4 linked regions of the Nothobranchius furzeri genome follow. The protein of the gene in region 3 interacts with the protein of the main gene of each other region in a pairwise test. Links are inferred from orthologs where the notes say so. Each region holds a gene or a part of one and is shown on either strand. Other genes may lie near its edges. The genes, in order: trim23, rpia, atpaf2 and fibrinogen silencer-binding protein.

Region 1 (8,117 bases), on a different chromosome or scaffold from region 3:
GATCACTGGTCAGGGTGTAACCCACACAGGGACACACAAATGGAGGGGTTTAAACAGCACCAAATCACAACGTAAGTCGTCTCAAGGCACTTCACAAGGTTCACAACCTACTTATCAGTGCAGAGTTCACTTCATTATGCCAGTTTCCTGTGTAAGGAAACCCAGCAGATAGCACTGAGTCACTGACTTGTTGTGTTAATTCAAATTCTAAATTCAAAAATACTTTATTAATCCCAGAGGGAAATTGATTCAAGTGTTTCAGTAGACAATTCCAAGACCAGACATACATACATAGACACTTAGACTTATTTAGAGACTTAAATAAGTCAGACACCTAAATAAAGTTCATTTAGAGCAGGGGTGTCGAACTCGAACTCACACTGGGCAAAAATGAAAAACTGGGACGAAGTCGCGGGCCAAACTCAATATTTTTTAAAAAGTGACGACAAATGTGCACATTTTCCTTTATCTGTAGATAAGAACGGTTGAACCTTTTTATTTGGAAACAAACTCATTTTTGCAGTAACACTGAATGTGGAATAACCAAATGACACACGAGCAAGTCGATTTTAAATAAAGCAACCACCAGTGGTATTCATTACTTATGTCTCAAATTTAAAAAATATATTTTACTCCTTAAAATCTGCATACATTCAGCATTTCTTCTTATTTTTTCTCTTTTGAGTGTTTCTATTTTATGTTTTCTGGTTTATTTTTTACTCTCCTTTGTTGCTCCTGTAATGAACGTTATTGCTGCTGTGACACCAAGCTTTCCCCACTGAGGGACAATAAAGGGATTTTCTATTTTATTTCTATTTCTATTCTTCTATCTGTAATCTTTCCTGTTTTAAAGTAGGTTTAATTTATTTTCACAGGCCAACAACATAAATAAGAATAGTAATTCTCTTAAATGAAAATGCAATATCTCACCTATTAACTTTCATGCTTCGGAACAGAAAAGGTTAATAAAACCAAAACAATTCAATCCCAGTTTTCTCCACTCCGATTTCCTGTCATGCTCACCTGTTCCAGCCTGACCTGCATCTGTGGGGTTGGGCTCTGAGCTGAGGAAGGAGTTCATCAGTGAGAAACAGGTGCTCACACAGGTTTGTGCTGCTGGACATGGAGAGCACCTGGACCACGCAATTGTGTCGGGGAGGGGGATAAAAGCTGCAGCAGCCACAGAGTCATAGTGACTTGAGCGTGTCGCTAAACTGGAGTTAAGTCATCTCGGTCTGGAAGTTGGTCGGTGCGCTTTCTATTGTCAGCAGCAAACATTACTGAGCTGTTAAAATCCATTTCTGAGCTTCAAAGTCGACTAATTACGGATTAAACTCAGCGCTGAGTTTTTCTCCTTGAAGCATCAACATGTTCCATCTTTGTTGAAACACCCTTCCTCCTGCATCAATCTCACTCTTCCTGGACATTTTGGGATAATGTGTGGAGTTATTTTCACTTGTTGCATTAATTAAACATGGAAGTGGATACACTGCAACCTAGTGGTGAGTCATTGCACTGGGAACACAATCGCCATGCATTATGGGAAATGTAGTTTATAGTTGATGTGCGCTTTGAAGCGGCATAGACCTATTTTAAGACACTTGAATCTCTCGCCCGCCGGCCTTGTGTCGGACACATGTGATTTAGAGCATTATTATCCAGATGCTATTAGTCAATGTAAAAATACATTTAAATTAAATTAAATTCTGCCACGACACTGGGCTGCCCAAGGATGTGCCTGACGTTAAATTAGCTTTACTAAGGACAAATATTGTCTGATGCTGATGTATAAAAAAATGGTAGATATCGGCCTGATATACTGGTCCACACACACACACACACACACACACACACACACACACACACACACACACACACACACACACACACACACACACACACACACACACACACACACACACACACACACACACACACACACACACACACACACACACACACACACACACACAAATCTTTTGAGACTTTTTTCTCCCCATACCTACTGACCTGGTATGAGGAGTGCACCCACTTTTCATCACAGAGTTGGCGGAGAAAACCAACTACAGTGAGGGGAGCTGTGCTAACCCTGGCTGTTCCGAGCCGCTTTTGGCTGAGTAGCAATGTTGGGAAAAGGGTTAAACTCCCTTTGTCCTTCACTCTGTGAGCAGGAAGGTGAAACACTCCAGAGCATCCAATGCTTCCTCCCCCAGCCAATCAGTGACTGGCAGTCCTCTGACGTTGCGTTTTTCGTCCCAGTTTGGTACACTTGGAACCACTTTGAAGCAGACAAATAAAGGAGCAGCGACCTGGTACCCGTTACTAGTGAAACTGGGCTGAATCGAGTGGAGCTCTGCTTAGAAGGTACTGAAGGAAAAATCTACAAGTGCAACAGAGAACATTTACACCTTTGTCCAGATTCAATTCAACCACCTTCAGAGTTTTCAAGATTTTCCAGCACCGTACAGTCATGATTTCCACACACATGGAGAGACGCTAAATGGACAAAATTATTGTCTTGCTGAATTTCATTATTGGTCTAAAACTCATGCACGTCAATTGGATATTTTTAGCGATGTCCCAATACGACTTTTTCACTTCCGATACGATATCGATGTTGCAGCCTTCAGTGTTGACCGTTACAGATATCAATCTGATACGATATCAGCACAAATCATACTTTTACCCGTTTCCTAATGTGGAATGTATGAAAGGCTTGATCAACTGATATTACTCAACTGGAGAACAACAGCCAATAACAATAAGTATGAAAAATTTCTTTTGTAACCATTGGTTGCTGTAGCTGCCCCTGGCACCATGAAGAAAAGAACGGAGAGCCTCGACGGGTGCATAAACTTTTATTCGTTTCTCTGGTCCAATGCCTTGGACTTCACTCCATGAGTTGCACTGTGAAAACTGTTTAGAGATATACAAAGCATAAATAAAAGGTGAACACAACTTCGATGTCATAACAGAAATGAATTATATTCTCACATTTACCTTGCTCCACTGGCCAAGGATGCTAAACAAACCAATAAGTCCTTAAAGCTGCTTTATCTGTAGATTTGAGTGGGGATGGACAAGAATAACAAACAATGACTATAGAGTGTCGAAGTAATAACCCAAACAAAAGCGTCAATACAGCAAAACTTACGTGGGGATGCAGTCGGCACTGTGCAGCTGAGGTGAATTTAGACCAAAGACATAATTTCAACACTTCAAAAGTGTTATCTTCTCTACAAACAACTTAACCCAAGCCATTTTCTCTGGAAGGGTGTGGCTTATATAAAATCTGTGAGCCAATTAAGAGTCATTGCCATCAGCTGCTCATCTGGCAGCTACAGTTGCAAAAATGTGAACCTTAACGAACCGCTTTTATAGGAGACTTTTGATGCCATCCGATATAATCCGATACAGTGTTTTTGGGCTGATATGGAATGACCTCCGATATCGGAATGGGACATCCCTATGTTTTACTTTGTGAAGTGCACCAAGACGACTTGTCGTTATTTGACGCTTTATAAATAAACTGAATTGAGTTTCACTTTCCAGTGTCAGCACCAATGCATGACTTTAAATAACGGAGATGTTGATGTAAACAAATACTGCAAGACTACACAAAGTTTTAGGACAAAGTCAAATCAAACCTACTACGAAGGAAGGTCTGGATCTGAAATGTGTTCATGTTTTATTTCCCTACATTAGACTGTTTTCGATTGTGAGCTCTTTTCTCTGCAGCCTAACAGCATATTTGCATCTGCCGTCCAAGAACCAGTAAAGTACACCCTGCATCTTATGATGACTGTGTATTCTCTGTGCTTTGCCACTCCAAGATAATTTCAGTCAGGAATACCACTTGGATGTTATGTTACTTCTGAGATGAATAGTTGTTTGTTTTTAGTGATTGAAGAAATATTTTTGTCATTTTCCCAGGCATCCTCAGAATTTGTTCAGTTCAATAAAATTCTACCAAATGTTGCAAATCTGCATCCTTCTTCGAAGGCCAAATTATGTTATGTCCTTCACTCACCCAGCTCGGTGACCTGTCGGTCAAAGGGGCAGCGGACCGCTCTGCCGTGGAGGGGCAACCGGGTGAGACAGTCGTGGCACACGGTGTGGCCACAGAGCAGAAGACGGGGGACCTTGTCACCTTGGAGGGAGAAGACGTCCTCACACACACCACACTCCAGCACCTGCAAGTGACAGCACAGCTTGAACACTGCCTGTCTATGTGTCTGTCTGTCTGTATCTGCTGCAAGGTGACTTCCACACTCAGGATCACGCACACTTGTAAGGAATTTTAATTTGTAACTTTAGGTTTGACTTGATGCAGAAAAGCAGAGGTACTTGAAAAATAGTGATGAGATAAAAAAATCCCAGGGTGTTGCAGTCACTTTGACATAGTGACTCCCAAGGTAAACATCACGAGACGCTTTGCCCACATTTTATTCTGTAAACTAAAATTAATTCTTCCAACAGCTGCTACTGTACACCCTTATAATGCACTGACTAGCTGATTGCTTGTTTTTGTTTATAAGGCTGCAGCGATCAGAAACTTGTGCTAATGCCAACCGGCGGTTTTCGAGCTGGTGCTAGCTCGCAGCAAACGCTTCTTAATGACAAACGAGTCTTCTGGAATGCATAAACGGCTACAATAACATGATGAAACGCGTTTGCACAGCTATTACACTGTCAAAATCCGTATTTGGCACCCACTGCGACCAACGCCAACGCAGCAGCCTTAGCTTCCAACTAGAAATACATCAAGCAAGTCTGAACCAGCGGACATTTATCACCAAAGCTAACCAAATAATATGTTCACAGCAATAACGACCTAGCTGCGGAAATTTGTGACATGTTTACGACCTTCACGGTGCTTCCACTGGCTCCCCTCCCGTGCCGGAGACAGGTCTCCATCGTCGCTCCTGCGCCCTGCTTGTTTATTCCTGCTGCAGCGGCGGCCATTCTTCGACGACGGCGAGCGAGAGAACTGAGCATGCGTGAGAGGATAATCCCTCAACAACTTCCGCGGTGTCAATTTTGGTATACTTTTTGTAGTAATTTTGTAACCCACGTTCACTAAATAAATCGCATAGTGATAAACAACCGATAAATGACCCGCATTTGTATAGCGCCTTTCAGAGTCAGAGGACTCTGTAATTTCATTCTTTTAATTGTCTTTACTTTTTACCCTTTAAACCATATAAGTCCGTGGTTGAAACGACCACCAAGCAGCTTCAGCTTTTTTTATTTGTTATATAAATCTAATGCTTTGCTTAACTGGCTCAACTTTAATGTTTATTTACTCGTTCAATACATTTATCGAGAACAAACCACAGGCTTCTAACTACATGTCCCATCATGCTGCGTGAACGTTCCGTGATGATGACGCATTTTCTACGCGCCGTGTTTACAGAGAGGAGTTGTGGATATAAGCGGGATTCTACACGCTAAAAGCTGCGGCTTTAACGGTATAAACACATGTTTGATTAAAAACGTATTTTTTGTTGTTTATAACCTGTTTTTATGTTTACTTACCTTTCAGTGAGCGGTTGAATTTCGCCATATGTTTATTCTGCGCGGCTAACGTTTTATGTTCGCGCATAAATGCCATTTTCTCACCACTCAGGTGGACTTGATATGTCTCAGCCAACACAGCAGACGGGGCCATCTGCTCCTGACTTCCCTGCTCTGGTGGTCACAGCAAACGTGCAGAAATATGCCATAAAGAAGAAGAAAATCCTGAGTGCTGAAGAAAGTGAGCTGTTTGAACTGACTCAGGCTGCAGGCATCACTGTGGATCAAGAAGTCTTTAAGTGAGTGAACCGAGACCGGTAGAAATGTGGTTCTTCACGCGGCGAATGAGTAAAGGATTCGTTTCTGCCCTCCTGTAGGATCATAGTGGACCTCCTGAAAATGAACGTGGCTCCCCAAGCGGTCTTCCAGACCCTGAAGGCAATGTGTGCAGGACAGAAAGTAGCCGACAGCTGCATAGAGGCTTCAGTTGTCTCCCACACAACAAACACCACCCCAGCACCCACCGAGGTCAAAGGTCAGTGTGTAAAAACTGGGCTTTAGTTTTGAACTTCAAGTGTTACTCCAGCATGGAGGGATTCTCTTGCTGATGCAGTTAAAAATCGCACTTGTACTGTGCTTTTCTAAGTCAGGGACTCCAAAAGTGCGTTACACTGCAGTCAATAATTCACCCATTCACACTGATGATGACCCACCAGTTACCGGGTGAACTAACCCCTGAGCCACCATCAATTTATATTGGGTGAAATGGTTTTGTGATCAGTAGTTTCTAGTGTACCCATTTCAACTTGATAAAATAGTTACAGTAATAAAATATTTATTTTTGTCACTGCTGATCGGTTCACTTGTCAAAACAGAAGATACGCAATAAATAACTAGTCAGCAACAAGAAGCAGATATGGGCGGCCATGACGGAATGGGGGTAGATCAAAAGGTGAGCCGTTCGATCTCAGCCCACTAAGCCTCAGGTACGGGTCAAATGCAGAGAATGTCCAACAGAAAGATAAAAAAGTATAAATTATTATTATTATTTTCATCATATGAGTCACCCGACCATCACTAATGCCTGCTATGTTAGTCAATGGTACTTAGAAGTGTGTAATTTAGCAAAAGCCAGTTAGGGTTTCTAATCCCATTTATGATTACATTAAAATAACAGAAGAAAACAAGTCATGGTTAATTAAAAAAACTAATTCAATTTGTTGTGGTTTAACATTTCCATTCAAAACTATTTTAATGTGTTTTTGTTCTTCCTCATGCTAATTAGGGTTGTCACGGTGTGAAAATTTAACCTCACGGTTATTGTGACCAAAATTACCACGGTTTTCGGTATTATCGCGGTATTTTTTTAAATGTGTTACATTTCCACACAACTAAATAAACCCTGTATGTCAGGAAATATTGTCCTCAGTTTGTGTCTAAATTTTGCCTAAAATATGTTATTTTGTAATTATGTTGTTTATTTGTTTACATTTTTCCCCTTTAGTCTTTAAAATACCAATATTTGCCCATAACTTATTATTTTTTGTCTGTTTGATGTCATCATTTTAAAAATATTAGATCAGATGATACTCAGTACTCAAGTAGCCTTCTAATCAGATACTTTTTTACCCTTACTTGAGTAATAAACCCTATATCAGGAAAATATCGTCCTCGGTTTGTGTTCTTCCAGTGAGCTTTGCAGATGTGGGAAAATGTCATCAGGCAGTAATCATTGTTAAATTCATAATTATTGTCAGAGAGAGACCAACTCTTATCTGCCCCTGGGAGCCCCGTAATGCATAGCGTCATTTCAACATGGGGGTGTCCGTGACACGGTTTATATGCAGGTAGCGGCGCTGCGGCTGCTTCATATAGCGACTCGTTGCATTCTCCCTCAACCCAAATCCTCGGATCACGTATTTTAGCTAAAACGCTAACGTTAGCTTGCCTTGCGTTGACTGTAGAGTTGTGGGTGATGGTCATGCAGATGTGTCATGAGATTTGAAGCATTGCTGCCTTTCACAGACACTTTTTCTGCACGTGCTGCAAACAGGATAGCCGTCTTCTATCAACTGTCCCTCGGCATTCTTCAAACATCCAAAAGATGCCCGTACTTCCCACTTTGTCTTCTTTGAGGGATAATAAATGTCATGAGCGCTGCCGTCTCCTCCTTTGGCCGTTATTTCAGCTTCAGCTTCAAGAAAGTTTTGGTTGTAAACAACAAAGTGCGCATGTGCCGCCGGCAACTTCAGCAGATGATACGGTGGCTGGTAAGGGTCACCGCGCCTACACCGCAGCCACGGTAACCCACCGAGATAATAGATTTTTAAAAAAACAAGACGGTTATTATTATTGTCAACTTTTTTACCGGGAATTACCGCTACACCGGTTACCATGACAACCCTAATGCTAATCAAATTTTTTTTTTACAAAAATGTCTCTACGCCAATAAAATGTTAGCCTTCTTGAACCGCAGTCGAGGGTTTCAAACGAGCAGCGGGCCACACTTTGGACTTCCCCGATGAGGTTTATTAATGTAAATGTCATACACTTGGGCTGATAAAAACTCCTCTTTCTTTTATCCTCGTGATTAATCCATT
Region 2 (7,840 bases), on a different chromosome or scaffold from region 3:
ATGCAGTAAAAACACACACACACACACACACACACACCCCTCAGGCCCTGCTGAATGATGTTTCTCACTAAATGTTCCTCTGTTTGACAGCGGCTGTTTGACTCAGGAGAAGATCGTTGCTGGCTGTGCGAAACGATTTGTTGTTGTTGCTGACTACAGGTCTGTATTGACTGGTTTACCTTTAGAGTTTAAAGAGCAAGTCACCCCCAAGACTCGGCATCTGTGGCCTCGATCCACTCATGAGCCATTGGTCTGGAACGATGAGGCTCAGGGCTCCTCTCTTCCTCCAAAATTCTTCCTCCCTTTCCGTTCTTTCCTCTGGCGAAGGAGATGCAGATAAAACCTCCCATCACAATTGACTGCTCAGTGTTTCCCTTAGAAATTTTTGCAGTGCATGCCGGTTAGATTCGTGTCCGACTTGACGCCGACTTGCTCTGACGTCATGCATACGTAGGCAGCGATAACCTCGTGAGATCAAGGCGGCTGCAGATTTTGGAGCAAGGCGCTGCAGTTGCTCTCCACCGGCTGCACAACCTAGGGCATGGCGGGAAACGCCTGGCTCTCACCTGATCTAAGATCTGATTGGTTCCCATTTTGATCCAAACACCCTGTGGTAGAATGTGAAATGTTAGTTGGTCACATGTATTCTGTAAATCGTGTTACGTAGATGCTGACAACTATGTACGCCATACAGAGAAATGTGATTTTCCTTTACCACATTTCCTATAAACACTCTAAAAACCTGCAGCTGACAACCTTTACTTATTAATACAGTCATGTCTTCCTATGCACATGTCTACAGTATATGACATCCACAAGCACGTGAGGCTGTGGTTCAGTTGCTAACAGGCACCAGAATTTGACACTAGTATGAACTCTAGCGTGATATCTTCAGCCATCGTCGCCTGCATAAGGAAATGTGTCTGACTTAAACGCCGGCTTTCAGCCACTCCCCCTGCTGCGTCCGTCTGCTCTCGTCCGTTTTCCAGGTGAGGCGCTGCTCATCTCGGACAAAGCCAGTGCCTCCTTTTGGCTCAATGTTTCAAACAGGAAGTATGGGTGGAGTAAGACACTAGCAGGGTGGTGACTTAATCTTTAAGTTTTTGGATGGAGGGTTTGTTACCATCAAACTAAACAAGTCTGATTTGTGTTTTGGAACACTTTGTTGTCCTGTTTAACATTTGTGTTGATTTCATCTGTCAGGAAGGACTCTAAGGCTCTAGGCCAGCAGTGGAAGAAGGGAGTTCCCATTGAAGTTATTCCCATGGCCTATGTTCCCGTCTCCAGGATGATAGTTAGGCGCTTCGGAGGGGAGACTGTCCTAAGAATGGCTGTCAGTAAAGCAGTAAGGGACCGATTCACACACCTTCATTTTTTTGTCTTTCACGTTTTTTTCTTGACTGGAGAAGCAGAAGAATCTCCGGCCGCACAGTTTGATCAAGGTGTTGATCCTGGAATATCCAGGGGAGACCTACTCCAGCAGTTCTTCAGCACAGGTCCCACAGATTGTGTGTCGGCCACTAGTGATTTTCTTTCTCTGCTGTGTTTAAACAGACTAACATCTACAGGACCTGTCCTTCCACATTGTTGTATTTGTTGGGGTTAAATAATCTGCGGTAATCCTTCAGTGTCCTTTTTTAATTTGGTTAGGCAGTCAACTCATTACCCCTATTTCACACTGGAAGCATTAGCAGCTTGGAATGGCAGCGGATTGTCACGGCCTCAAATATAATTCATTATAGTCTAAAGTGGTGATGCCGACCAGCCGCGACGCGGGCATTTTCAGGTTTGTTCCAGAAGCGACATGCCACGCCGCTAAAGATGGGATCAGGTTCTTTACCACAAGTGGCTTCTGGGGCACATCAGTTTCTGCAGTTAGCATGGGGCAAGACAGGAAATCACACACGGTTTCAGTGTAAACCCCCCACCCCGGTATTTTCAAAATAAAAGACTATTACAGCAAAGTAATTTCATATCTATGTGGAGTACATCAATAATTGTGACGTAACGGCTTATTTACTCCCTGAATTGCTCCAGAAGTGCAGCAGTGTGTTTTTCATGGCTTTCGTTCTGCAGTGGAGAGGAACAACGTCATAAATGCTATCAAATGTCATTTCCTTCTTTTTGGCCAAATGGCGCATGGCATTAACAAAATGTGAACCATGAAGTATTGAAGGAATTTGTGATGTTGTGAGTCCAGTGAGGAGCACAGCGAGGAAGCCGTTCCGTGGCCAAGGCTCTCCCAGCGCGTGCTGGACCGCATTGAAGCTTGTGAGTAAAACGTTCCACGGCCATTCCGCGCTGCTGGAGTTTCCAGTGTGAAGTAGTGGTTAGGAACCCTCTGTAAAAGGAGCTGCCATGTTTGAAAAGACTATGCAGACCAAAGTGGTTGATGTTATTAAAGTCAGGTGGTGTGTTTGTGGATTTCAGGGTCCTGTCGTCACAGACAACAGCAACTTCATCCTGGACTGGAAGTTTGAGCATGGTCAGAACTGGAAGGAAGTCAACACTGCAATCAAAATGATTCCTGGTGAGGAACTTTTATACTGTTTACATCCCGCAGTGGTGTCCAGCCCTGGTCTTATCAAACTTGTTTTAGTTGTTTCTCTGCTCCAACACACCTGATTTTAACTCATTCACTGCCAATGACGACTAAAGCCGTCCTTTACATTTTTTGCTGTGTGGGCATCGGAACGAGCCCCCGCACCGTGAGAACAAACATCTCAGCTCTAAAGCCGATCTTCATCCTCATATGTCACACGTCACGTGACCAGGAAACAGAAACTCCACGTGTTAGGAGTAGGGTTGTCACGGTAACCGGTGTAGCGGTAAACCCCGGTAAAAAAGTTGACAATAATAATAACCGTCTTGTTTTTAAAAAACTACATTATCTCGGTGGATTACCGTGGCTGCGGTGTAGGCGCGGTGACCCTTACCAGCCACCGTATCATCTGCTGAAGTTGCCGGCGGCACATGCGCACTTTGTTGTTTACGACCAAAAGTTTCTTGAAGCTAAAGCTGAAATAATGGCCAAAGGAGGAGACGGCAGCGCTCAGGACATTTATTATCCCTCAGAGAAGACAAAGTGGGAAGTACGGGCATCTTTTGGATAATTGAAGAATGCCGAGAGACAGCTGATAGAAGACGGCTATCCTGTTTGCAGCACGTGCAGAAAAAGTGTCTGTGAAAGGCAGCAACGCTTCAAATCTCATGACACATCTGCGTGACCATCACCCACAACTCTACAGTCAACGCAAGGCAAGCTAACGTTAGCGCTTTAGCTAAAATGCGTGATCCGAGGATTTGGGTTGAGGGAGAATGCAACGAGTTGCTATATAAAGCAGCCGCAGCGCCGCTACCTGCATGTAAACCGTGTCGCGGACACCGCCATGTTGAAATGACGCTATGCATTACGGGGCTCCAGGGGCAGATAAGAGTTGGTCTCTCTCCGAGAATAATTATGAATTTAACAATGATTACTGCCTGATGACATTTTCCCACATCTGCAAAGCTCACTGGAAGGACACAAACCGAGGACAATATTTTCCTGATATAGGGTTTATTACTCAAGTAAGGGTAAAAAAGTATCTGATTAGAAGGCTACTTGAGTACTGAGTATCATCTGATCTAATACTTTTAAATGATGACATCAAACAGACACAAAATAAGAAGTTATGGGCAAATATTGGTATTTTAAAGACTACAGGGAAAAAAATGTAAACAAATAAACAACATAATTACAAAATAACACATTTTAGGCTAAATTTAGGCTAAATATATATTTTTTAAAAACAAGACGGTTATTATTGTCAACTTTTTTTTTTACCGGGGTTTACCGCTACACTGGTTACCGTGACAACCTTACCTGATCGGTCTGCTTTGATCTATTTTGAAAATTCCGATCAAAACCGATAGGGGCGCTATCGGCCGATTACGATCAAATGCCGATCCATCGGTGCATCCCTAAAACTGAGGACAATATTTCCTGACATACAGGGTTTATTTAATTGTGTGAAAATGTAACACGTTTTAAAAAAATACCGCGATAATACCGAAAACCGTGGTAATTTTGGTCACAATAACTGTGAGGTTACATTTTCACACCGTGACAACCCTAGTTAGATCGTTTTTGGGCCGCTGCTGTAAAGAAAAGTGAGGCGCAAACTGGAAAAGCTTCTGCCGATCACAATTGGTCAATTACAAAAACGGATTATGAAAGAACAGATATCGTTTGAAACGTGCAGATTCTCCCTGATGTAAGAGGCGAGTCTCCTCTTTGTTTTGGTAGTTTTTACGTCAACATTATCCTAGCGCGCAATGTTCTGTGCATCTTAAAATACAGTAAAAATGGTGAGAAACGCTGGCAGCGAAGGGCTTTACCGATCAGGAAATGGCTGGCAGTGAATGAGTTAATCAGTGGAATCAAGTGAATGTGAGCCGAAAAACCACTAAAACATGCTGGCTGGTGGGATGGGATAACTCTTGTTTCTGAGTTTTTGTGTAATGTGATAAAATAAAAATCCATGTTTACGTCAGGAGTTTGTGCGTTCTTTAGGTGTCGTAGAAACCGGGCTCTTCGTGAACATGGCTGAACGAGCATACTTTGGGATGGAAGATGGAAGTGTGCAGATTCGGGATGCTCCAGTCAACTGACCAGTTTGCCACACTCATGGGTAGTAGAGCTGCAACTAATGGGTTACCTGTTTAATAGATGACTCATCAGTAATTTTACATCCTGATGAGTCATCAGTTATTTAGGGGATTCCTGCTGTCTGTGGATCTACCTGTTTGCTCCACCTGCGCATGGCACCCTGAGTCTGCAGCATAAGATATTTCTACAAATTAATTCATGAGCAGTGAAACTGATGGATGTCCAGCCAACTGAACACCAGTTAGAGGTTTGCTCTGAAGGTTTTCACTGTAATTGCAAACATTTTGCTGAACCTAAATCTTACGGATCATACACTGACCAAAGCTACAGCCCTAGCTGTCGCTCCTTTTAATTGACCAAATCTGTTCCACGAGAGCCGTCGTCAGGAATTATTGCCTCAGAAAACACCAAAGCAAGAAGAAACATCGGAGCTGTTGACTTTTCCCGTCCATGCTTTTGATTTGATGAGTTTTAAGTGCCTGATGAGGAAAGTCGAGTCCTACTGCTGTAACAGAGAGCTTTGACTGGAGGGACGTATGATCGAAGTTCTTGTCTGGTGAAACAGTAGAATGAAATAAAAGCACGCCTTTTAAAAGCTCCCATTGATATTCTGTTTGTGTAATGAAGGACCAGTTTTCAGTTATTCGATCATTACAGTCCCGGTCACCTAAACCAGCATAAACTGGTGCAGCCTTGGAGAGTATCCTGGTTTGGTGTGACAGCGATAAACCAGAGGAAGCTTTCGGATAAGGAAACAACTGGAGGAAATGATGCCAAAACAAAAAGTGCAACACGAAACTTCAGGTCTTCCTTGAATCGTCTGCGAGTTTGAGGTGTTTTGCATGTATTTGTGTGTTTTCTCATGTGTTTTTTTTACCTCCACCTTTTAGCAGAAGTTGGGACCATGCCATTAGGTATAAGCTTATACCTGCCTTTATGTTACTATGGTGTTAGGTCACTGGGTGTCTAGAGCCACTTTACACTAAAGTTTCTGTTGTATAAACCAATGTCAGCTGCTGTTCCGAGCCTTAGATGTTTTTGTTCTACCATCTTTAACGTGTTCCTGTGGAATTGAACTAGTCAGTCATTAGGATCGAATTCTGAAGCCTCGGTGTTTGTTGGAGGAAAACAGACCTCAAATGTACTTGTACACCTTTCCCCTTTGTATGACTTCAGTGTTCAATGCCTGTAAAAGACTGCCCAGTGTTGTGCCATACTCATGCTTATAAAAGGATTGATGATTAAAGTGTCTGGCAGCAGTGTGTCCATGCAATCGAAAGGCCACATTTCCTGTGTCTGCGTTCGTCTCTCAAAAATGAGGTCTATTCGTGAAAACGTGGTTCAGGTCCATGCTCACCACGAGACAGCAGCGCCGTTACCTGGTAGGACTATAAACTCCTCATCAGTAACACGGGCACGTAAATGTAGGCTAGGAGCGTGGCTTCATAAACACGTTTCTTTGCTTGATTTGTGTCACAGTCGCTGCATTTTAGTGAAAGTGTAAAACTGAACTCGTAACCGGAAACAGGAACTGCACCGATTACTTCCACCGGGCCACGTTGTTGTTTTTCATGTCGACGGCTCTTGACAACTGCGTCTAAGCGACAGCTGAATTAACCAATCAGGTGCTCACATGAGGTCACTCGAAACTGATTTAGGCCAATAACATTACGTGATTTCATTATCTTTTCTGTCATTGGACGAACGACTAAACATCCGACCAATCTCAACAACCAAACAGATTTTGCCCCCGGGGACTTTTTACGTCACTTATCCAGTGCGCACGCGCACCTGTGACGAACAGGAGTTTAGCCAATGAAACGGAGTGTTTGGAGGCCGGTGTTTCCGGGTCCGCCTCTTTGAGTGACGGATATCTAACGCAATCATGTTGTGCTTAGTAAGCGAGGACGTGTAACTGACAGCGAAGTACGCAATGAGAAACGCGCGCATTAAAACGCAAGGCCCGTGCGGGTTTACGGTCCAATCCCGGTGTGGAAACGAGGCGGGATTTAGCGTTACTACGGAAAGTCTGGGTCTAGTATAAAGAGAACAACATGGTGTCCCAGAGGCTGTTTATGTTTACTTAAAGAGCTCGTTCAGCGGGGCGTCCAGCACGCGACACTTTTATAACCGTAACCTCGGCTCTTTTATACTTTCACCTTGTTTTTATACTAACTTTTACCAGGGCCGTGGCGTGTGCGTCTCCTCTTTCACTAATGTGCCAGTTCTACAAATGGAAAGGGGGCTTCACTTTGGAGTGAGCACTTCCCTGCTGCTCCTGCTCCTGCTGCTCAAAGCGCCCACCGGTTCCGGGACCTCACCCGGCTGGGTGTCGGGCTCGGCAAAACATGGTCCGAGAGTCATGGAGCGGGGCTTGGAGAGCCTAGGCACCCCCCCGGTCCCCGGTGCAGACGTCACCGTGGAGGACGACGAGAACGGGTCGACAGGTGAGGCCGACGACCCGTACGAAGACGGTAACGGAAGCGTCCGCTCCACAAGGTAAACACGGTGCTAGCTGCTGACATCCATTATCGGACACGCTCGTTTCCAACTTCAGGTGACTTGGAAATTACTAAAAGTTGACGGCTTTTACTTTGATGTGTTTCACCGACTTTCAAACCTGCGACGTGAAGGCTGACGTGACACCTGTGTTGTCATGGAAATGCCCAATAACGTGAACGCCATGAGCAGAAAACAGGAAGGTGCTGTCTGTGTCCGATAATCGAGTCACGTTAAGTTTCCCGGAGCTGCGGTTGTGGCTGCTGTGAAAAGATGGATTTTAGAGGTCATTTATGAACGTGAGACACCTCAGCGCGAGCAGGAAGTTCTGGTTCAACAGAACAGAACAAAAGCAGGACGTCCCAGGTGAGCTGGGACAGAGGTTTGTTTGTTTCTGGTGTGCAGTAAACACCAAAGCTGTCTGGTGTCAACAGCAGAGGTGCTGCCAGCTGGAGCAGGAATCACGTGATCTAATGGCTCCAGCAGATCTAAACATCTCAGGCTGTCAGAGGGAACGTCCAGGTGAACGGTCCACTCAGGTTGCAGCAGCTGCTCAGAGAGAGAAGCGTTTTCCTCGGCAACAGCCGGTTCAACGCCCACCCTCGGTGCCTGTTCCTGATGCTGTGTGTGTTTATTCTGAGTGTATTTGTTTTACACACACTCCTGCAGCTCCCTTTGGCTGGGACCTAA
Region 3 (7,939 bases):
CCATTTGTATGCCCGTAGCGTCTCACGTGTGTACTTACTGGGCCTCTCCACTAAAAACGTATATATATCGGGCCACTGGATATCTGGCCACGCACCTACATCTTCCACCCATTCCGTAATGCCACAGGGATCCGGGAGTCTGTTGTCATTCGTTAAAGTGAGTTTAATAATATAACATTCAAGATTTGCCGGTGATAACTCCGCAGCGTAGCTTGATAAAGCCTGAAACAACGCCATTCTCTGTTGCCAAGCTGCGCGCGCATTCTCGCTGACGTCATATGGTTTACGAACAGTAAAAGGGTCTATTAGGCGATTGAAAGAGCAGAACGATGAAAGTGCAAGACCCTAAACCATTGTGTCAGAAGATTGAATCCCTTTTGTGTTGATGCGTTACCATTCAGAACTCCGGTGGTAGTAGTAACCCTCAATTGTTGCTGTGGATTTCTGGAAGCAGATGTAGTAGAAACCAGCAAAGGAAGCGCCACTGATGTCTTTGATGGTGTGGTCTGGAACCAGAAACTGCTCCTGAAGGAGGAGAAGGAGAGGAGGAACGCCAGCAGCAGATAAGAATAACTTATTTAGGCATGGAACTTGGTCTGGTGACATCCAGGTAGCGTCTTACCTTCCACCTCATGAAAATATAATCAGAGTTCTTCAGATCCTTGTAGTCAAACTCGTCCGAGTTAAATATCTTTGCATACTGGTAAAAAGCCTGAAACTTACCCTAAATATAAAAAGAGTCAACTTCGCCATGATACTGTTTAGTCATGATGACTTTTACAGATTGGGAATAAAGTTGGACCTTACCCAGTGTTTACGATCTACATCCTCATCTGCATCCCACTTCCGAGTGAGAAACGGCCGCTTCCTGCTGATGATTTCTCCAGCAAAGAACGTGGTTAGTGTTGGATATTCCTAGAAGAACGGGCGAGTTGATTTCTGTTTTAGTTTGGGAATGCCAGAACATCACAGCCAGTATCAGCAAATCTGCCAGGTTCAGTTTCAATAAGAAATAAACATTCTGTCAGGGTTACAGTTGATCACCAAAGAGTTCATATTTAATTAGTCACAAAGACAAAACAAGAGCAGTCTGACCATGAATCCAGATGGACACAACAAGAACGGATCTTAGGAAATTCCTTAATTATCTGATGCTGATGTTGCTTCCATTACCTAAATTAAAGCTACTGATCTAAAGAGATGATAATCTTAAGAAACAGAGATTTCTGCAGAGGTAAAGTGTTAAAAACTAATTTATTCCGCCAGGAAAATATCCTGACTCTTCCACTCTTCTACGTGTAACCTTTACACTTATAAAAATATAGTTTTCTGTTAACAATTAATCTAGACAAACCTGATGCAGAGGTAAGACTCAAGAGAACTACATACAGACTAGAAGTGTTATGGCAATGATTTGCTCCATCAGGAAGCAGCCATCTAGCACTTGTTTATTTATCTGTATATTCTGCATCTCACTGATCTTTGCCATTTAAAGGATGCGAAACTGAAATAATACAGTTTTAATAGGTGAAGTTCTTCAGTCTCATTTCAAATACATGCATGGGCTAGAATTAGAAAATTGTGGATTAAACCGATGTAGGCCTTTTGAGAAATCAGAAATACAGTTTTCTTTCTAAAGGCAAGAAAATTCAGTATGAATCAAATTTAAGCAACAAAACACTTCGTGTCCCTGCTCACCTCTGTCAGCCCTTTTATCTTCAGGTAGCCACACAAGTAGGAATCTTCCATTGTGACATGCTTTAAGAAGAAAAAAAAAGATTTTCATCATCCAAGTCAGCAATAAACGTGCTTTAATCTACATTCGTATGGATCCCATGATTATGTTTCATAAACATGCTAAAACAGCCTGTTGGTCTTTGAAAATCATATCAAAAAGTCCACCTTTTCAGCAGCATTTAGTGAAAATTGACTAGAGACCAAGTACAACACTGATGATGGTCTGATTCAGGTAGGACAGAGTGTTCAGCTGTCAATCATCACACGGTCGGTTTGACACATCACATTAATGACTGTATACACGCTTCAATTCCTACCTGCAGGACAACCTCCACATCGTAGGAGTTCCCTTTGCTTTTCTGGTGGCCCCGAAACTTAGAGCCGCTGTACAGCAGCGAAGTGACGACGCCGGGCTGCTGAGTGTTTATAGGGGGTGGCGGGATAAGTGAGGCCGAGGATGTGAAGGCCGCTGCGGGTGAGTCGCTGATGTATCCAGCAGGGACGGGCATGGCTCCCACTTCGCTGGCTGAGCACCAACCACGGTCAAAACACTGTGTTCGCCTCTTCGAACAGCTAAATGTTTACTGAATACGCTCACCGATATTCAAATTTCACTTAATTCCAATGTAGCACAGTTTACCAAGCTGCTCGAGAAGTAAGTGGACTTGCTGTGCTGTAGCCAGGAGCATTCACCTCTCTGATTGGTCGACTGAGTTCGCCGTACGAAGATTCTAAACGCTTATTGGCTGAACGTGCAGAAGGATTTACGTGACTATTTGGTTGTAGTTTTTCCCCCTTTTGTAATGCAGCGCAAAGGGACTAAGAGGCTCCTAAAAAAACTACATTTCCCACTAAAGTAAACAGTTTACGACACTGTCAACCAACTCGCAAAGAAGGTCAGCCAGCGTGCTTGAAACGCCGGAGCTTGAGACGAGAACAAATGCTAAAACTGCAAACAGTCTGTAAATGATAGATGTAAATGTCATTCCGTTTACGATGTTGCGCTATTTTAAGTGAGAAACGGTGGGAAAAAGCTTTGCGATTTGTTTCTGTTTTATTATTAGCCTTACGCCAAAGTCGCTGAGCCATGTTTAGAAGTCTTATTAGACTCAAGAGTCCATTTGGAAGTGTTATTTCTCTTTACAACGTGTGCCCGAGGCATCAACACTCCAGTTGTACGCGGAAGTATTCCACCGCCACATCAGGTTAGACGGAAAATATTAGTAAATCCGTTTAGCTGACGATTTCATTAACCCTGTTTTCTTTTGCGATGTTGTGCTGTGTACCAGAGAGGAAGAAGTTTTATCAAGATGTAAGCATCTCCCAAGGTGAAGGTAAGAGGAAATGTTCCATTCCTGTGTTTACATCATTCTGTCTTATGGTTGTGCTAAATATTAATAGCAATAATAATCTGTACAGGTGGTCTCTACGAGATAAACCTTGACAGAAGGAAACTGAAAACTCCAGGTGGGAACCTGTTCGTAGTGCCTAATGAGGCCCTGGCCGTCGCTGTGGCAACAGAGTGGGATGCTCAGAAGGATACGCTCAAGTTCTACACTATGCATCTGGTATTTGGCTATGCACACATAAAGCTGTCAGCCAGCTGCCCTTTCTCTATTACGTGTGTGCGTGTGTGTGCGGGAGTTTGCATCTGCTTGGGACGGGATTGAGGATGGGAGGACGGAGATACAAAGGGGATCTCTTATGTTAATCTGTGTGGGAGGGGTGGGAAACTGGCTGCTGGGTTGTTTTTAATATTGTAAAGTGCTTTGAGCAGCATTTGTATGGAAAGCGCTTCATAAATACATTTTGATTGATTGATTGATTGAGAAAATAAATTTTAAATACAACGAGTGACTTCACCTCTGTAATAAGGGTACATTCCAGGAAATGCGTTGTCCAGCTGAGTGTGAGGTGTCCATTTATGGATTATATACAGTATGCATGCTTATAGCTATGTCCTGTCAGTTACTGAATCATGGATCTGATGTTCTTGCTAAACACTTCTTGCAGACGACTCTGTGCAACACAGCTCTGGACAATCCAACTCAACGCAACAAGGACCAGATGATCACTGCTGCTCTGAAGTATTTGGAAACAGACACCGTTTGGTAAACTTGTTATTTTTATATCTATATCAGATAAAACATTTGTTTATATAACTGAAACAACGGCAGGGTTATACAGCCCAAAAATAAAATCTCTGATTTTATTTTTTAAATTTGATTTACGATTCTCTCTCCCCCTCAATTATTAAGAATAGCAATAAGTACAAATGGAAGGCAACTTAAAGCCAATTTTGTTTTGTATTTAATCACAAGCAAGAGAAATGTTACCCTTATTTCTGAGATGAATAATGAATAAATGATCACCCTCTTGGAATAAAAGTGCCAAGCTCCACATCCGTCGCAGCAAACCCAAACCAGTTCCATACAAGGGATGATTTAATTCCTCTCGTAGGAACAAACTTCCCACTCTCACCGGTGGCCATGGAGTCACTTGCTGTTGCACATCCGTGTACGTGCTGTGACGTTGTTGTCGCGGTTATGTGAAACTAATGCTACGGAAGCTCCGGGGGGCCAAAAAGGCGCTATTACATAAAAATTTGATTTGCTTTCTTTAATCGCCAGCAACAACAAATTCGGCCTGGGTGATGATTTGATTATCGCCCAGGCCTAACTGAAACTAAACCAGGAAAACTAAGCATCCAGTAAGGATCAAAGGTCATTATACCAATATTTATACATCACTGCTTTTAACACAAGACAGTTGAGCTCAGATGAATGGCAGAGTAGATTTTCATAATCCGTCAAAGGTGAATGCACACAGGCCAGTTGAGCAAGTGGACACCTGATTATTTCTATTGTAGTAAATGCAAAATGCATTTTTCAATTAGTGATTCCATTTATTAAAGAATTAAATCTTTCCAAACCAATTTGACCCTTGGAGCCAGCAGCTGTCATCAAGCACATGTGGCTTTCACATCTCTGTGAAAGATTTATGTCCCGCTGCTCGTTACAGAAACTGAAATCAGCCACATTGGAGGGTTTTCCAGCATGAATTACCTGTTTAAGGTCAAAGGTCAGACATTCTTCTTCAGGATGTTTTGCTAAGGAAGCAGCCTCAGACCATCACACTACCACCACCCTGTCTGACTGCAGGGACGATGTCTTTTTCCTGAAATGCTGTCAGTTTTACCCCAGGTGTTAAATAGCCTTCATAAAACCAGGTGCAAGAAAGTTCAGATCTAAATGAATTAGGAAAAGACACGTTGTCATTTAGATATTTTAGTAGTTGTCATTGATGGTGGCTGTTTGCAGATTAGTTTTAAGTTTCGTACTATTTGTTTTGTTTTGTGTAGTTACAGAGTCGATGAGCCTCCAGGTTTGGTCGAGCTCCAGAAGAATGAGTGGGACCCTGTGCTGCACTGGATTGAAAACAGGTGACAGACAGCATTTTGTTGTGATCAGAGCTGATCTGCTTGTGTTAAAGCCATCCAAACGCTCCCGGCCAAGATGCTGCACTAAATGGTTATCTTTCATGACCGCATGGCAGGTACGATGTCACTGTTGGATCCTCGTCCAGCATTTTGGGTCCTGAGATTCCAGAAGCAACCAAAGACACATTCAGGCAACACTTGAGCTCCTACAACCTCTGGTCCATGACAGGTACGAAGTCCAGATGTTTTTTTTTTTTAAAGGGATCGTGATTTATTTATTTTTGTGGTGACTTTGAGCTTCACTTTTTGTCTGGTTGCTTTCGAGCAGGACTGGAGTTTGTGATCACTCAGCTGAAATCTGTAATTCTGTCGCTGGGGATGATCGACAGACATCTGAGTGTGGAGGAAGCTGTGCTGCTTTCCAGACTGGAGGAGGAGTACCAGGTAGGAATTACCAAAAACATCAGCTTCTTCATTTTGCTGCGGGGTGGGGTGGGTTTTGGTCGTATGAACTTGAGTCTCATTAACTTAGTGCCCAAAGAACCGTTGAAGCAGGGTTCTTCTTGCTAAAACATTCAAGCTTTCTTTTTTCTCGTTTTGTGTCTTTGACAGATTCGGCGCTGGGGAAATGTGGAGTGGGCCCATGACTACGACATGTATGAGCTGAGGGCACGGACGGCCGCCGGAGCTCTTTTTGTTCAGCTCTCATCTGAGAGTTCAACCATCAAACACAAGCTCATGCAAGACTGATGACGATTCAGATTACCAGTTAGCTTAAAGCAACAATCATGTTCCACGACCTGCAGCAGATCTAACATGAAACCAACGTGATGTTGTAGAGGTCCCCCTTCCTCTGTTGCTGGATGGTGTTTGTATGTGGCAGCTGTGTCTCTAGTTGGTCATCAATCACTTGTGACATTTGCTGGACCCAAACACACATTTGAAGATGGTGCTTTTGTCTTCTTCATTATAAAAACAGTGCTTGTTCTTATAAAATCTGTGTGAGAAATGCTCTCTCAGATTAAAACAAACATTCTGGAGTAGGATTATACTTCTGTAAGAACACATTCAACATGTTTGTGTCTGTTCCTTCTGTTTTTGCTTTTTCCATTGTGATATAAAGCAACATTATGTGTGCCAATGATGGTTATTGTGAAAAAAACAGAAACAATGGTTGTCTTGCATTTCTGAATAATTTTCTACAATAAATGTAGACATCCCTGTTCAATTTAATTATGGATCAGATTTCAGGTTTTAGGTTTCATTTATGGCACTTATTGCTTTTAGTTTTTTGTAATTTAGTTTTTTTCCCCCTTGTGACTCATTTTAATGTATTTTGTGTGCAGCTCTTTGGGGCAATGGCTGTTGCCCTCTAAATGTGCTATAGTATCAATAAAATTTAACTTGACTTGGATCTGGATCCATTTTGTCTTCATTTACTACAAATATTCAGAATACATCAGCTTGACTTTTGAGTTGTAAGAAAAAATGTAAACGTGATTTTAGATCCAGCACCTTTGTAGTTTTGTGGGATTTTAAAAAAGTTTTAAGGTTTTACTAATTATTTTTAGGGTTAAACATGGTCTGACCATATCATCCAAGTGATCTCAGAATCTACTCAAGATTTTAGTTTCAGCCAGTTTCTCTTCAAAGGTCCAGCAAAGGCACAAATGTGTGGCCCGCACCACAAACTGGAAAAAAAGAACTGCTTTGCATGGATAAAATACTCGGTGTTTACGACTCAGACGTTCCTTTTGATTCACACAGAGGACTTTAAATTTGTGTACTTTGCTGAGACTTTTAGAATTTTTAGTTTGTTTCCTAAAAATGCAAAAGACAATCAACATTCATCTACTTTGTTAACTTGATTTTTAATTTTCAGTTAAATGAGGTTGCATTTCAGGCAGTAATGTTTTTAAAACAAAAATATAAAAGCGCACACATTATTCATTAACTTTTTATTTATTTAGTTTACATTGGATAATGTTCTGGGACAGAACTGTTTTATTATCTTAACCCTTGGACCCTTTTATTTAGTTCTTCTGAAGGACATCAGCATTGCCCAATCAGATTACAGTGTTGGATATTCTGACCAATCATATTACCGTTGTAGGCGGGGTTTAGGCACGTTTTCCCATGTATCATCATCATCATCATCATCATCATCCTATGGACTGACTTGTTTGTTGTTGATGAAGATGGAGTTCCTTTTGGGGAATCCTTTCACTACCCCCGTTGGCCATTGTATCGGTAAGCAGCTGGATATTCTGGGAGCAGAAACACGCTCGTTTCGCCTTAAGTAGTTCGACACCGTGTCCATTTTGTGTTAGTCATTTACGGGTTAGCTACCCGTTAGCCGCCTAGCTAACTCTTGCTATTGCAGAAACACATTCGTCATTGTGAAAACATGGACTTTGAATAATAAAATATCTGTTTTTGTCATTTCTCAAGACGACGGTTGGTGTCAAACGGATTTAACCCGCGTCTATGTTTAAATACCTGTTAGCCAACAAGCTAACAGATAAAGCTCGTTATGTATGTGTTGCATCGTCATCATCTCATTAAATGACTGCATGTGTGTCTTAGAAAGAGCTACCGACGGCTCCCTGCAAGGTGAAGACTGGACTCTTAATATGGAAATCTGTGATATCATCAATGAAACAGAAGACGGGTGAGTTATTGCACAACCACTCATTAAACACATACGTATGTGCACTGTTCTATTCCAGTGGTGTTTACGTTATGCATTCCTGCCTATTCAGA
Region 4 (7,994 bases), on a different chromosome or scaffold from region 3:
GGTCGCTGTGTAAAACACACAAGGACTGAAATTCTAACATGAGCTGAGAGAAACTGACAGAATTTAGGAAACCCTCATTCTTCACAAAACCATTTTAACCCCCGACAAAATCACAGCAACCAAACAGCGTAATAACCTTGAAACTGCAAAAAGCCACACCCACACCTGTACCTACCACAACAGTGATGCATGCACCCTCCACCTGATGAAGAGAAACGTTCTGTATTCAGGCTTATAAATGTATGATTACAGAAAGCTCCGACTCTGGGAGCTGTCAGCTTGCATGTGCACGTGTTGCAAAGTAACCATGGCTACAGATGAACCACCTGTTGTTCACCCACAGGTGTCGGGTTTCCTTTGTTTCATGCGCATCCACACAGATAATTCACATTTAAATGAATACGATCAGTAGAAATGAATCAATACATCGGTGGGTTGAACTGTTTTCTTACCTGTGTTGGAGCAGGAAATGAAGGCAAACTCACAATCATCCTCGTGTGTGTGGAGGCTCTCCAGGGTGCAGATCACCCCACAACCCTGCTCTGCATTCACACAACGGATCTGCAGGCGGTTCAGGTCATTACGCATGTACCTGTGACAAAACTGTCTCTCAGGTGTTGCACATGAATGAGTAGCGCATCAGCTCAGCTACAGAGACGCACCTGTACAGCGGTTTGAGGCTGCTCAGGTCCAGCGGCAGCCTGTCTTCAGGGCAGGAGTGGTGATGGAGCAGCCAGCTGCTGATGCAGGAGCTGCAGTAGGCATGCTCACAGGGAGCCTGGAGGGGGCGCTCCAGCACGTCTCGACACACACAGCACAGCAGACCCTCATTCACAAAACCCACAAACCTCTCCAGATCAAAGCCCATCCTGCAGCTTCACAGATTGTAGGTTTTACAACGCTTAACTGAAGATTCATGAGTTTTCCTAAGACAGCATTCCTACCTGAAGGGTTCATCCAACTCCTTTCCTTTTGTGTTTTTAACCGCACTTGTTCCTCTGCAAGAATTCTCTTTTATCTTTCTGCTGCTGTTCTCCTTTCTTCATCCTCACTCTTCACACCATCCGAGTGAGCAGATGCTCTCCTGTAAAGCCCTTCCCCAACACAGAGTCCCCATGGGAGAGGTTTCCTTGACAACAAGGAGTCAGGATACAGCCAGGCAGCTGTCAGATGGGAACAGATCAGGTGGACAGAATTACTAAAAGAAAAGGAAACAGTCATTCAGACGAAAACCCTCAAACTGCAGTAGATTGACTCAGTTTCTGCCTGAGAACTCAGGCTGTGAAAGTGACATAGCCTTTACAGATCATCTCTCTTTAATGACCAGTCGTGTTTGAGGATTCTCCCTTTTAGTTTGTCTCTGGATGTGGGATTACCGAGGATTACACTCTCTCCCTGCCTGATTGGATTAAAGAGCAATGAGCCTCTGTCAGGACAAAACACGCAAGGACACGAATCAAATGTTGCACTTTTAAGTGTTTAAAGTAATGCAGTAAGTAAAAGGAGCAAAACTTTTTTTTAGAAAAGTTCTCAATTAAACAGGAACGCTTTGTTTCATGATGATCACACAAATATCATCCCACTATTTTCATTAAAATAAGTGTTTTTGAATATGTAGAGAAGAAGTGAGATTGATTTATAATAGTAAAAGTTAATCATGTAAAGTATGTTTGTACATTAAACGCAATCAGCTATAGTGAGGTATAAATCAAACATACCCTAGTGGTTTTGGCCACGCCTTCCGACGGATTCAACCAATCAGATTCTGCAAACCGTTCAGCGGGAGAAACAGAATCGGACAGATACATTTGTAAGAATTTCGATGACATTTTTCATCTTAAACGTCTTTATGACACTTTAAACTCGTGTTGGTATGTATAACACAACTTGTAACACCAGAAACACACCCGAGTTCAGACCGTTTTAAGGCTGTTAGCCGCGGTTTGCTAATAACGTGTAGTTTGTTAACCCGTCAGAGCTAGCTTAATGTGCGTTCGTAGCTTCAGTGGATTGAGAAGACTTGAGTGATAAAAGCAGAAACCCTAACGTGTAACTAAATCTGTTTAAGGTCGTGTTTGCTCTGTTTCACCACGTTACGGTAGAAAACGCACTTATCGGACAAATATCTATTGTTTGAAAATGCAAAACAAATGTGTGGTTGGGCCAGATTATCAACCAGAAAATAAAAGTTCTGGCATCTGACAAGCGAACGTTCATCAGATACGAAACCCATGAGTAATTAGAGTTGCATATTTGTACTGGCCCAACAGAAATTGATTAGAATTGACCTGTTTTAAATGAATGAAAAACATGAATGAATGAATATTTTTCTGCCGCTGGAAAATATCCATGAATTTCATCACATCTCTGTTGATACATGAATTTTTCTCTCTAGGTTGAATAACAATTTTGAGTTGCCACCTGAAGAATGCGCCGATCAGCAGCTCCCAGTCAGCTTTTGGGCAATGCAACGAAAAAACCTCGCTTTGCACCACCAGGAGCTACTGGTTTGTTTCTTAGACCAGAATCCAAACCTTCGGCCTCAAAACTCAGTCTAGACAACGCACCCGATAAGGCAAGTTTCTACCAGCATTTCAATTCAAAAGTACTTTATTAATCCCAGAGGGAAATTGATTGCTGTAGTAATAATCAAGTCATCAAAGAGTTGTTGTATATTACAATGGCTGTTGGCAGGAAGGATCTCCAGTAGCGGTCAGTGTTGCAGCCAAACTGAAGAACCCTCTGACTGAAGACACTCTTCCGTTGTCGGACAGTCTTGTGAAGAGAATGCTCAGGGTTGTCCATCATTTTCTTGATTCTCTGGAGAATCCTTCTTTGCGTTATCTCCTCCAGTGGTTCAGAAACTGCCGAAACTCTGGCTGAGTCCTTGAAAGGGCTTGGAGTTCCTCCATCTTGTTGGCCAGTGATCTCACATCGCCCGTTATGATCGATGGAAGCGATGGTTTGAATTTCCTCTTTCTCTGTCTCCATTTTGCTCCCGCTCTGCACCCACGCTTCTTGCGTTTTAGCTCATTTGGGATTTGTGGCTTCAGTTGAGGTATTATTTCAGCCTGTCCAATGTTAATTAGCTGCTCCCGATTGTAAACAAATTTGTTGCCATGGTTACGCATCATAACAAATGCTCAAAAAGTGAAAAAAAGCTAAAAAATGGCAGTAAAAATCCTCCAAGCGTCACAGCACCAGAAACAGAAAAGTAAAATGTCCAAAAAATACAGTTTTTCTTGAGAAACTAGAAGAAAAAATGCCCAAGAAAAGGCAAAACTTACATAAAGTCAACAGAGCTACTCCAACATGTAGCCACCCAGAGCAGCGCAGTTCCGAGAAAAAAAAAATCAATTTGTATTATAGTCTGATCTGTATGCTTATCAATTTATCATGTTTTCACATAATTCCACATCTCTAATTCTCCCTTTTCTTTTAGATCCAGAAAAGTCTTTTGACACCAGTAGAGAACAAAACATCACTTGATGTCAGGCCCAAACCCAGCCACACTTCTCCAGCTTTGTCCAAGGCGCTGGCTCGAGTTCTCGGTGCAACAGAGATTAAAGAAAATGAAGCAGAAACAAATGATCCAAGCTCTCGATCAGAAGGTTGTACAGAAAACAAAACTCTATCAGGTGAGATGACTTATAATTCACAACTTTGGTAGTGTTACTCGTACAGATACTTTAGTAATAGAAAGGTGGAAAACATTAATGGGGAAAAGTTCATTTAAGGTAATTTTCTTACTTGCTCGTCAATCTGAGTACATCTGCTACATCAACATTAACTAAATGTGAACTTTATAATGTTTTTGCTGCATGTTTGTCGTCTGCATCGGGTGCAAAATCAGTTGAAACATCACTGAATCTGTATGATTTTGGTTTGAATCGTGTATTTGCTTTTATTCATTTATACTAAACATGAGATTTGTTTGTTACACGTATTCAAATCACTGGGCCGCACACCTTTGAATACAACCTTTTTTATCCACACAAACAAATCTGCATAATTCAGAAACTTCTGGAAAATTGCTGCTCATTTCTGTTACCGTTTCTCTTCTGTACATACCAGTTATCTGGATCATAAAATGTCTATTTTTAGCTTGTATAACTTCTTTACACTTAAGGTGTAAAGCCTATTAAAAACTGCTCTCTAGAATAAGCATAAATGCACATTAACCACAGGAATGGACGTTAGTGAGGTACCATCCACAGGCCAACTAGTGGAAGTGCACTGCATATTTCTTGAACAAAAAAGTCAGATAAACCATCTACGTCTGGATTATTTAATCACGTGTCACCTTTCAGCACCCAGCTCTGAACGTGTACTTCTGTTAGTTTAATTTTATCTTTTTTTAATGTGGTATTTAAAGAGCAAGTCGCCCCCTACCAGAGTATTACTTCCTGTTTGAAAAAATGCAACAAATGCTGTTGCCTAGCAGACTGAGTCGGAGCCGCTAACAAATACACACACACACAGGCTCACAACAACATTGTGACATCATATGGTACCAGCTAACATCATAGGGTACCTCTTGGCCAATAGCGATGGCAGATTTAAATTCAAATGCAGTGCAGAGTTTTTACCTGACAACGGCACAACACTGACAGTTTTAGGCAGAACATTAACATTTTAACTAAAATGCACTAAAGTGCAAAACTATTGACTACACGTGTCTGCAGCACGATTAGACACACATTTATATAGTTTATCAGAAAAAAAGCAGATTTGGGGGTGACTTGCTCTTTAACACAAAGTGAGATGAATTTTGGGTTATGTAGCATCTTAAACAACAGGGTATCCGCGGGTCCTTAAAAAGTCTTAAATTTGCCTTTCCAAATTTAAGGCCTTGAAAATCCTTAAAAATGACAAATAATCCTTAAATCCAGTTTCCAAAGGTCTTAAATTACCAAAGACCCAATAAACAAGATTATTTTATTTCTATAAAAATTTTCATGAATTTCTAGTTGGTGTTCAGCATTTTTTGTGTACGATGTTGGCGTAAGCGGAACCGTACACATTCAGCTGGTTGTGAAAGGGGGCTGTTTTTAGATGAGCACGTTAGCTGGTTAAGCTAGTGGGAGCTTGCGCCATGGGGAAGTGCAAATGTAATGGTAACTGGATGGCTAATCCCACGTTCGCGACGTGGTTAGCACCGGTTCCAGGCAATAGCTGGAAATTATAGCTTAAATTTAATTTTAAAAATAGCTTAAATTTGGTCAAAGTGGCCTTAAAAAAGGTCTTAAAAAGTCTTAAATTTGGCTCCCTTAAACCTGCAGATACCCTGAAACAAGAAGCGGTGATGTTGATAAATAGCAAGCAGAAAAATAAGAGTACGAAAAAGAGTGACACGCTGAGGGTGTGCTGCCTGATGACTCAAAACAAAAACAAAGTATGTGCAGAAACCCAATGATACATCATTACTAATACAATACATGGCAACCAAAAGTGCAATATAAGCCAATACAGGTGTAAATAAAGTACACAACGATTAGGGACCCCACTGCTCCTTATTGTTTAATTGTAATGATTAGTATTTGATGCTTTTTCTATGCTTCAACGTTCTGAGTCTAAGCTCTGCACAATAATTTTTATGTACCCAGACCAAGTGTGTGGGTGTAAAAATGGCTTCTGATCTTAATCTGAGGGACACTTCATCTGAATTTCAGGAGATTAATGAGAAAACGGAACCGTTGAAGTTATTTATCGACCTTTGCACCGACGTCACCTAATCACGTGGGTCCACCATGGTGGACGGCAAAAGCATGTAAACAGTGAGCGACACGATTACTAAACAAAGGGAAAAGTAGAGCCTGAAATTGTTTTTGTGATCAAAACAAAAACAAAACTCCTCCAGCATTCCTTCCACTAGTTCATGCCCAGTTCAGTTAACAGAAGAAGTAGCGCATCTAGCGGTATGCTAGCTAGCTTACCAACGTTAGCTTACGTTCTCTGCAGCTGTTCACCGATGTAAACATGCTGCTGACTTTGCCTACATTCACCCCTCTGGATTGATCACTGCTGTTCATCTCCGTCCTCAGTCTCCATCAAAGTTATTAAAAAGAAAAAACGAATTGAGTTTACATCCTTGTCTGTTAGTGCAGCCGACCACGCAGCAAGCTAAAACCATTTTACTGTCAAATCAACTAAATAAAAGCAATAAAAGGCTCCAAACTGGCTTGTTTTGACTAGCTTCACTGGAGTTTCTATGGATGTAAACGGTCTGCCAGGTGAACACACAATACAAATGTTTGAAGCATTAAAATAAAAACGTGTTTGGCTATAATCTGAAATGTACTTAAATATGTTTGAGTGATTTAGAGTGAGAAGTAATGAGAGCAATTTATATTTTAAAGAAAAAAGTATTTGTTTTTCTTCATGTGGTGATTCAATGGATCATCTCTCACTAGCTTCTGCCAAAATAACATTAAATATAGGAAAGTCTGCGGCCTGAAGACCCGGTTCCGGATCTAAATCTAGTACATCGGAGGAGTGTGAGACAGACGTGGTCTGGTTCTCCCACACGGATCCTCACTCTGGGATTTGTCCCAGCCTCAGCAGCACATGTTCGGGAGATTTCTGGCGACAGACGCCGTTTTGCTCTTGCGCGGCGCGTCTGTTTACTGCACGAATGATGCGTTCAGGGTCCAGACGAAGGACTGCAGCATGTGGGCTGTGGATGAATGCGGGCTCAGGCGGGCTGATGAAAACTCGCGTCGGTTCGGCTCGTGTATCCTCACGTGACCTGAGCACGCGCTGTGTTGATATTAGGTCGACGCAGACTTGAGATTTAATTTGACTGGCTTCCATAGTCCTCTACGAGCATGCGCAGTGCGCCCTGCCCCCTCCCCCGCTCATTTAGTTAAGCCAGCACTATTTCACACAGTCGCCCTGCTTCAGGTGAATGAATCCGAGCGGACCCGATGCGGGCTCCCGTGCAGCTGTACAGTTTCCTCCTGGTTGTTGGTGAAAACACATCTCAGCTTCTGTCGTGTCCGTTCACAGTCAGCAGCAGACATGGTGCTGCTGCTGTGCTTGGTTTGGTTTAGAGAGACCGAGCTGAAAGTAGGTCGGGCTGGACTTAAGCGGCTTAGCTACGTCAGCCTAAGCTGAGAGGAATTCATCCAAAGCCCTCCTCGGTAGGCGGGGGCCTAAACGAGGCTGGCCTAGTTAAGCCTGATTCTTATTGTAAGCAGCACTGCCAGTTTTTCTTGGTTCAGCGTAGCTGTGAGAGGACCCAGGACCAGAGTTTGTAGCCACAGTTCATAGCCAGTGATGGATCTGGACAAGGAGAGAGCCATTTAGTCATAAATTAGAGTTAGGCCTTTGTGCCATCGTGGATCAAAAGAGAGCAGAGGGGATAAAACAGAAAGAAAAGGCAGCTGAGCAAAGTGAGGAGCCACTGAGAGAGGGTCCTAGGCCTGACTGGGACTGTGGTGGTCCACTATGCTATAGGATGGCGTCCAGCGCGGTGTTTCTGTCCAGCATGGTGGGCAAAGCTCGCTCTTCCAACTTCACCCTCTCTGAGAAGCTGGACCTGTTGAAGTTGGTTCGCCCTCACATCCGCATCCTGGAGGAGCACACCAACAAACACGCCGTCATCGTGGACAAGAACAAGTGCTGGGACACCATCGCAGAGCAGTACAACGCTTTGGGAGGGGACAGGCCCCACAGGACCGCTCAGGGCCTCAGGACTCTCTACAAGAGGCTGAAGGAGTCAGCCAAACAGGAAGTGATGCAGAGGAGACACGCCCAGCCAGAGTACAGAGTGAGCATCTCAGAGCCAACCAGGAGGATTATGGAGATGATCCCTCACCTGTTTCACCATGTGCCCATACACGAGAAGGACCAGGTTCTACGCAGGTACAGTGTTAGACTTGTCAGCACGCACACACGCACACACACACACACACACACACACACACACACACACACACACACACACACACACACTTGGCTCTGAAATGTGCATCTCAGCATCACTGATAACA

What was found.
Region 1: the proteins of atpaf2 (region 3) and trim23 interact in binary tests that used the Homo sapiens proteins (3 or more experiments, as listed by UniProt). The two-hybrid records come from large-scale screens. The link is inferred for Nothobranchius furzeri from reciprocal best matches to the Homo sapiens genes ATPAF2 and TRIM23.
Region 2: the proteins of atpaf2 (region 3) and rpia interact in binary tests that used the Homo sapiens proteins (3 or more experiments, as listed by UniProt). The two-hybrid records come from large-scale screens. The link is inferred for Nothobranchius furzeri from reciprocal best matches to the Homo sapiens genes ATPAF2 and RPIA.
Region 4: the proteins of atpaf2 (region 3) and fibrinogen silencer-binding protein interact in binary tests that used the Homo sapiens proteins (3 or more experiments, as listed by UniProt). The two-hybrid records come from large-scale screens. The link is inferred for Nothobranchius furzeri from reciprocal best matches to the Homo sapiens genes ATPAF2 and FSBP.

The regions. Positions count from the first base shown.
Region 1 is NC_091746.1:63,285,356-63,293,472, forward strand, and holds the start of trim23 (E3 ubiquitin-protein ligase TRIM23), read right to left. Parts: upstream 5,014-8,117; 5' UTR 4,999-5,013; coding exon 4,867-4,998; intron 4,194-4,866; coding exon 4,031-4,193; intron 1-4,030. Other genes in the region: mzt2b (mitotic-spindle organizing protein 2), read left to right, coding at 5,641-5,816, 5,895-6,052.
Region 2 is NC_091758.1:5,544,236-5,552,075, reverse strand, and holds the end of rpia (ribose-5-phosphate isomerase), read left to right. Parts: intron 1-90; coding exon 91-159; intron 160-1,203; coding exon 1,204-1,345; intron 1,346-2,430; coding exon 2,431-2,530; intron 2,531-4,555; coding exon 4,556-4,653; 3' UTR 4,654-4,869; downstream 4,870-7,840. Other genes in the region: eif2ak3 (eukaryotic translation initiation factor 2-alpha kinase 3), read left to right, coding at 6,885-7,150. UniProt on the Homo sapiens protein: Catalyzes the reversible conversion of ribose-5-phosphate to ribulose 5-phosphate and participates in the first step of the non-oxidative branch of the pentose phosphate pathway.
Region 3 is NC_091756.1:29,840,762-29,848,700, reverse strand, and holds atpaf2 (ATP synthase mitochondrial F1 complex assembly factor 2), read left to right. Parts: upstream 1-2,611; 5' UTR 2,612-2,824; coding exon 2,825-2,942; intron 2,943-3,026; coding exon 3,027-3,071; intron 3,072-3,156; coding exon 3,157-3,305; intron 3,306-3,750; coding exon 3,751-3,848; intron 3,849-5,098; coding exon 5,099-5,179; intron 5,180-5,292; coding exon 5,293-5,405; intron 5,406-5,504; coding exon 5,505-5,620; intron 5,621-5,788; coding exon 5,789-5,926; 3' UTR 5,927-6,590; downstream 6,591-7,939. Other genes in the region: glucose-induced degradation protein 4 homolog, read right to left, coding at 395-525, 623-724, 808-915, 1,699-1,758, 2,055-2,246; TOM1-like protein 2, read left to right, coding at 7,369-7,426, 7,763-7,847. UniProt on the Homo sapiens protein: Plays a role in the assembly of the F1 component of the mitochondrial ATP synthase (ATPase).
Region 4 is NC_091745.1:79,028,873-79,036,866, reverse strand, and holds the start of fibrinogen silencer-binding protein, read left to right. Parts: upstream 1-3,667; 5' UTR 3,668-7,459; coding exon 7,460-7,866; intron 7,867-7,994. Other genes in the region: rnf41l (RING finger protein 151), read right to left, coding at 176-202, 453-592, 663-868. UniProt on the Homo sapiens protein: Transcriptional repressor that down-regulates the expression of the fibrinogen gamma chain. Represses transcription of GSK3B gene promoter via its interaction with APBA1.